2 linked regions of the Solanum lycopersicum genome follow. The protein of the gene in region 1 binds, or shares a complex with, the protein of each later gene. Links are inferred from orthologs where the notes say so. Each region holds a gene or a part of one and is shown on either strand. Other genes may lie near its edges.

The links.
Region 2: cleavage and polyadenylation specificity factor subunit 1 (region 1) and cleavage and polyadenylation specificity factor subunit 3-I share a complex: the UniProt entries of both Arabidopsis thaliana proteins name them as parts of the CPSF complex. The link is inferred for Solanum lycopersicum from reciprocal best matches to the Arabidopsis thaliana genes CPSF160 and CPSF73-I.

Annotation. Positions count from the first base shown.
Region 1 is NC_090802.1:2,563,868-2,567,380, forward strand, and holds part of cleavage and polyadenylation specificity factor subunit 1, read right to left. Parts: intron 1,257-3,513; coding exon 1,111-1,256; intron 1-1,110. UniProt on the Arabidopsis thaliana protein: CPSF plays a key role in pre-mRNA 3'-end formation, recognizing the AAUAAA signal sequence and interacting with poly(A)polymerase and other factors to bring about cleavage and poly(A) addition.
Region 2 is NC_090806.1:62,060,108-62,064,364, reverse strand, and holds the start of cleavage and polyadenylation specificity factor subunit 3-I, read right to left. Parts: upstream 2,805-4,257; 5' UTR 2,676-2,804; intron 1,606-2,675; exon of another isoform or gene 1,600-1,605; 5' UTR 1,599-1,599; coding exon 1,446-1,598; intron 1,362-1,445; coding exon 1,264-1,361; intron 1-1,263. UniProt on the Arabidopsis thaliana protein: Component of the cleavage and polyadenylation specificity factor (CPSF) complex that play a key role in pre-mRNA 3'-end formation, recognizing the AAUAAA signal sequence and interacting with poly(A) polymerase and other factors to bring about cleavage and poly(A) addition.

The DNA of each region.
Region 1 (3,513 bases):
CCCATATGGTAACCCCCCTTTTTTCTAAAATGATGGGATTGCTATCCCATATAGACGGTGGGATAAAATAATCACATGGGGTATCCTAGCTTATCCTATCCCGCATACAAACGACCCCTTTAAAGAGGTAAAGTACTTTTGCATTATTCTCGTCAAATTTTTTTATTGAAATTTCATGATATATATTTGAATCATCAGCCTTTTAGTACCCGCTGTCCACCAAATCAACTCTCTCGTGATAAGTTGGAATCACATTTTCATTACCGAGGCCATGCTTGAAACATCTTGTGCTCCACACTATAGAACCTTAAGCTCAAAATTACTGTTTAACAGACTTAACAAAAAAAAGCAAACAAATCAAAATAAAATAAATTCTTGGTTCTTTTGTTAAGTAATGTGGTTTGTACTGCAGGAAACAAAAGATGAGAAATATTTGCCCCACAGGAAATGACTAATCAGTGGCAACAACAAAGTTACTCCGGGTTTAGGTTGTTTTCTTTTGTTTTTTGACAAGGTAACAAGTTGTATTAACATTTGGGTGGAAAAAAAAAGCATGTATACCAAAGGTATTCCAAAATGTAGAAAACTACAAAACAAAATGGTTTTCTACAAACTTCACCAATCTTCTACACAAACTGGTACTCCACGGATGCACCAAAAAGAAATTAGGGATAAGAGACTACTGCTCAATTTTAGAAAGTCCATCTCTATACCTTCAAAAGCTCTTCTATTAGGTTGTTGATATGAGGAAAATATTTTGAGGGAAATAATTGTAATTTGACTGACAAAAAAGAAAACACAATAAAGAAGGAAGACAAACAAGACCAGAATTAGTATATGAGCTCATCAGCTAAAGGTTGTCATCAAGTGTAATTACAGTGATACCTCAATGAAACGGAAGGATAGAACTTCTTAACTTAAGCAGCATTCTTGACCTTATTTCCCTCACCAAACCAAACCCCAAAATAGAAAGAACTGTGATACAGTCATCATCAAGAAATAGCTCTTACTGGAGTGATCTCCTTTCTTTGTTGCCTCTTCTCTCTCTCTCCTTCAAGCTAATAAGAATATATATAAATAATGCTGGCAACAAAGATCATTGTAACTTACAGTGGCTGACCATATCAGTGGATGCTGCTTCAACGTTGTACTAATACTAAAGGCAGAGACCATACAAGTATGGTGTTTCCAAGAGACGCGCCCAGACCAAGTGAGTTCCCTTTCATGAAGGATAACCATTACAGGCTCAATATAACCTGCATAAAGGCACATGTCAAAGTTCAAACTGGCAACAGTGGTAACTGCAGATGGTGGATGTGAGACATATAGGAGAAGAATATTATTGAATTGTGCGTCTACATTATTACATTGAGACCCTATCTACATTAGACTCATTTTCTAACTAGGACACTACATTATAATCCTTTTCCAAGTAGGATTCTATATACTATTTCTATACCTGTTCCTATTCTAAGTAGGTTGTACTAAAAACCATAATTACAACTTCTCAATAAAACAGGATATCTGAATCTAAAATCTAAATAGAGCCAAGGATCTCAATAATTGACCCAGTGTCGTCTAGGTACATCTGTTTGCACCAGAAACAAGAAAGTTTGATACGGTTCAATTTGATCTTCTGAAGATCACAACTTTTGCTCTCAAAACATCTATTGTTTCTCTCTCTCCAGATTGTCCACCAGATACATGCTGGGACAGACATGATTTTCCTGTATGGGTGAGGGTTGTTAAGAGAGTACGAAAGAAGATGGCTAATAGGTGATTTCTCAGCAGGACAGGAATGGACATATCATCCGATCGAAGCTTGCTGAGAAAAAGGATTTTCAAGATTCAAAAAGTTCCATGGTAAAAACACATTAAGTTTTGTGGGAGGGTTACCAAATGGAAGAGCTTGAGTTGCATTTTTTTGAAACTTGTAACATGTGTGTGACCCTGTGTATATAAATACATACTAGATATGCACCATAAAAGTGCTTCTTACAATTACAAAAACCCAAGCTTGCTTAAGACTACCCTTTCAGAAGGAACTTATCATGACAACTATTGATTCAGTCTCCTCTACATAGTTTTTTTATGACTATGGTGTCCGCACCTCAACTAATTCAACAGGATATTTGTCATCTCCCACCAGGTACAAGGTAACTATGTCCACCAAGGCTAGAATATATCGGAAGAATCACCTACTGTTTTTTGTCTCCGCTGAGTTTTGAACCTCTCTACATAGTTTCTTTCCACCAAAAATGAAACAAAAAAAATACCATTCATCTTGACTCTCTGCACAGAACTGTTTTAGTCTTTCAAAATTCTATATCTCCTCTCCTTCCAAATTGTCCACCGTATACAAGTTGGGACAAGTTTCCACCACTTCTTTTGTCACACTGCACTACCATCATAGTTCCAGCACTTCAATATATCACAGCTTGTTGCTAGCATAGACCATCTTAGTCCTACCAAGTTCAAAAAAAGTTGCCACGATTGTCCATCTAGAGGAGTTAGGTCAATGTAGAAATGGACGACTATTATTTTCTCTGGCTTCACCACACATGCGACATCCAGAGTATAGATGAAATCCCCTTCTTGAAGTTTCCTGAGTGAGACATGCTTTTCTTGCTACAAGCCAAGAAAAACAGCAGACTTTGTAAGGGGCCTTGGTCTTCCAGATGAACTTCCATGGCGACGGGTCAAATGTGCATTTTCCCTATTCTGGTAGTTGTATGCAGATTTGACGTAGTAGATTCCATCACTTCCAGGTTTCCAAAATAGCCGAAAGTACCAGTTTTTCCAACAAGCAACTTGTCAACAGAGAAGATTTTTGAGTTTTGAAGACCATCCCATGGTTCAAAATGGCTGAATTTAAACAGAGTTTTATCCGACAATTGGTAGCTGCTGTCTAAGCTGTCAAAAAAATCTTTAAACATTCCTTTGAACTCAACAGATTTGTGACTTTGTCAGAAAGGGAGAGCACCGGAGCTTCATTCACTCAACTCATTTTCTTTCTTTTTTTTCTTTTCAGATCTTGACTTTTTTCCCTTTGCTAACCTGCTTTTGTATTATTGGTTGCTTCTGCCATAGCGAGTTGCATTCATGCATTTTATGTTGTCTAGAATAAGAAAATATGTGTTCAATCGGAACATTTTCAGTATTATTCAGGTATTAAATAGGTCGAGTCTTTAGTTGAGGTCTCTAACTGAAATATCCTGCCAAGTTTAGGGGCTGCCTATGCATTAGGCCAGTAAAATAATTAGATAGGAAATGATTAAGATTATGAAAGAAATAGAGGTCAATTCTGTTACCTTTTGTCAAGAAAAAAAAAATAGAAGTCAATTAATTTTTTCTCGTCAAATAGAGTTCAACAATATCAATTTCCATTGTGACAACAACAATAAAAAAAATATTGTAACCAAGATATCCCTGATGACCAGCTGGCACACAATCCAAAATTTGGAGGATATTGGGTCCACCCCTCTACCCTCTTCCACTTAAATACCATGTTTT
Region 2 (4,257 bases), on another chromosome or scaffold:
AAAGGAACAACCTAATCAGCCTTAAGAATAGAACCTTTTTTTGTTAGCCTTTTCGTGCAGACTTTCTTCTGTAAATGACACAAATTATATCACCGGTCTGCTCAGTGCCTTGCACTTTTTGTAAAGCTTCATCAGCAGATTCAAAGTGATGTTGCATATCTAAAAAATGTTAACCTTAACAAATATATAAGAATAATCAAACCCACAATTTTGTACTCAATAACAGAAAGATATGTTTAGCAATTGGCCGGGTGGGCAACACTTAGAAGAATTGTGATCCAAGATTCTTTTTCTCTAACTATGGCCATTCCTTTTAATCACTCTTCAATGACTTTGATGCATCTGTTCCCTGTCTGAACCATTTATAAACGAGTCAACTAAGTACTTCAAACCAATAGATATTTGTGCCCATCCAACATGTATGTTGTATTAAAAGCATGACTCCTAAACTTGAAAGTAAAATTATCAAAAGATCCTTTTAAAGCCTAAAAATACCTTATTTAAAAAACAAAACCCTGTCCTTATCGAAAAGGGCAAACAAAATGACGCATCCTTACAAAGGTTGCAAATGCACCGATAACTTCTTATATGAAGGGTTGTGTTCGTTCAAAAACTTTCAGTCTTAGTATGGATTTATACCTCTAAATGTGAAAGAAAATTTCCTCATACAAACATTCACTTCTTCTTTCCTCCTGGTCTTCTATTATTACTTATTTTTTTTAATTTTTATGACCGTGGTATGAGAGCCTAGTACGACGGGATACCTGTCATGTTCCACCCACAAAAGATACCAGGTAATTTTGTCCACCAAAGCTAGGAACAGATGGAAAGAATCGCCTGGTGTTTTGCTTGGATCAATAATCAAAAGGATAATCAGCATAATGTTTCACATTCCTATAATAGATACTACCTGAACATGTCTTCTCTTCCTCAGACATTCGCACAGACAAGTTGAGAAGCAGAGATAAGAGAAATAACGTCTTAACTCTTAATATAGAGAAACTAATCCAATCTGGACCAAAATTATGGAAATGCATCTAACACTCAACATTTAAAGCAGTACACCAAGATATCAACATTTAAAATTGCCCACCAAGAAAGAAATCAAAATGAAGAAAACGAAATAGAAATTGGTAGCCAGTCATCAAATGATGCTTGGAAAAAGAAAAGAGAAAAACTTGTGCTGCAGTGTCCAATTGAGATACAATATCCCAAACAATAAAACAAGCATCATATAACTGAGATCTGGCACAGAAAACTTACTGGGTAACAAGAAGAACATCAATAGATGAAGGATCAATTTCATCAAAATATGGTAAGGCAGACATGCCTGAGTAACCCGGATGTATGCCACAATCAAACTGCAAAAAACATCAAAAGTAATTAATCAAGTTCAGATCTTGTGGCCAAGAAAATATTTTTCGTAGAAGAACGACAAAGCCTACCATGATTGTTTTCCCTTTAAAAGTCATGAAAACACAGGACCGTCCCACTTCATTTCCAGCCCCTAAAGGGGTGATAACCAGTTTATCTCCGTCTCTATTAACTCCAGGACTAGGTCTCTTTAACGAAGACTGTGGCTGTCCCGTAGATGCCATTCTGACACTCAAATAACAAATAATTAGATTTAGAAAATTCTAATCATCGTGCAAGAGAAAATACCAAAAGAAATCCAAAAAATTATCTGGTTAAACCATCATTCAGCTTCATTATGACCAGACCAAACAGTAAATATCAATAAATTCATCAACTAAGCATCTATCCAAAATTCATTGTCAGCTATACCAATCCTCGATACCAAGCCAACACAGCTACCCAGATTGCAAAAGACAAAAAAATATGTGGTATTTGGGCCAGTTTTCCCGCACCTTGATTAAGTGCAAAAACATATTATATCAAGAACCAACTTTTTGGGGGTGTATTACTTCAAATAAAATAACTGAGATTTCTACTACATTTCATTTATTTTGAAAATGTACTATTTCATAAAGAGCTCGAATACGGAGTTACAAGTCAGCTTCATATAGTAAAACATTTTCGGCAGAAAATCGACATAGCATTGCTAGTGTAACTAGTGTATTAAGCAACTAAGCAAGTACATTGTCAAGTCATGTAGTAACCTTGATTTTAAATGCTAAAGGAGGTTATAAAGAGTCTTTAAGGTCTTCACAAGCCTCCTTCAGCTCACGGCATAAAGTTTGTTTTATTGAAATGCTACATATATTACACAAAGGAAAGCACAAAGATTGCGCAGAACATTACATCGAAAACCCAAAAGATCCCTGACTATGCATGCAGTAAATTTATGAACTATAAATGGACTCAGCTTCATTTACAAGTTCTATTTTACACCAAAAGGAAATCACAAAAAATACTACTCCCCCACTGTCGCATCAATTAAGAATCATCAGCTCTTTTACAGTATTAACTGATAAAAAAAATAATTAATAGCACTTATTCGAAAAAACGAAGCAGAAAAATGCAACTATAAACAACAACATCCGAACAATTCAATCATATCAACATTTGAAAACACTCGTTTTTTTGATTTTTTTTTTGAATATTTGAGCAGAAACCAAAGCAAATTAAAAATTAAAGAAGCGGATGGAAAAAAAAACAGATAAACCTAGAAGGTGATCAAAACGCATACAAAAAATGCAGAGAGAAAAACTTACTGAAATCGCAGAGGAACAACGCAGGTGAAGGATGGGAGGGAAAAACAAGAAGAAGTTAGGGCTCTTTGTTGATTGAGGGTAATATCGGAAAAAATTTACTAAAATCTCAAGAGTACTTAAAAAGTGTGTGTCTATTTTATTTTATTCAGGTTTTTCTCTAATGTCTATTTTGTTTTTTCCAGAGTAAAATTTTCTCTAATATTTTTTGATAAAATATTTAGTTGGAGTATTGTTTTATTTAAATAAAATACATTCAATTATATTTGTTCAGCAAAAAATAAATATATTTACTGTATTTAAATATTTAGAAATTATATATATTCAAATGCTTTAATAACAAATACCATTATCATATCTTCATATTTAAGATACGCATTTAATTTCAGACATCTTAATTTTAATTACAATATATAAACTCTTAAATTTTTATGCATTTGTAATTGATGATAATGTTGAAATTGTTTTATGCATTTGTAATTGATGATAATGTTGAAATTGTAAATAGTTAGTGGTAGAGCTATCAATATGGATTAGTTCACCTCATTTGGGTTAATTTATATAGATTTTGATATTTTATTGGTCAAATCGTGCTAGTCTATTTTTTCTGTGAGTCAAAAAATGGTCTGCCCAGCCCACAAGTACGTGGACTACATGCTTGTCAGGTTAGTCCACTTTTCTAAAAATTATATTTTTTTATAATTATTAAATTAAATTATAATTTAAAAATATAATTATAAATATTGACAGAACGTATTACATGATGTTAATATTATTACTTGTTAATTAAATCTACAAATAAAATTATCTTTATAATATTTATCAAGTTCTTTTTCAAGTAAAAGTGTAATATCTAAATAAAAATATTAAGCTTATTGTATTGGGAAAATTACATGGGATGGCAAACACTAATAGCTAATTATATTATAGGGGTATAGTTTAATTTATTTACCTTATATAATTATAGTTTATTTTTGTTTGTTATATTTAATGGGGTCCACAACCTATTATATAACCAATGGTATAAAAACATTATTTTCTAATTTTGTATATAATTATACACAAAACAATTTCCTCTCTCCTTTTCACATTCCAAATTTTTCTCCTACATTTAATACTCCAACTATCCAGTTTGAAATTCAAATCGTTGTCCAAAATTAGATTACTCCCTCCCGAAGTTGAAGTCAATTTCGTAAGTACTCCTTAATTTTAGTTGTTTACCTCTTTTCTTTTCTTTTTACTTATTCAAAATTTGTATATGTATTCTGTTTATTTTTTTCCATATATTTTGATGAAATAATCGATTTTTTGTTCGTGATAGATCTAAAATTGGTCACACAATGAATGAATCATATTCATCTTTGAGGATTACCAGAGGTATCCCTTTGCATGTCAATGTTGTTGACATTGTACCATCGTTTTCAATGGGGTTAACTCAAGATTTTGGGTTTGATGTAGGATCATTGGGAAAATCAAATCAAGTTATACAAGAACACACAATGGAAGAGCTTAGACCAAAGGAAAAAACGAATAGTACAAGGAAGAAGAAAGAGGAAAGCTGTAAACATTGAATCAGAGGAAAATG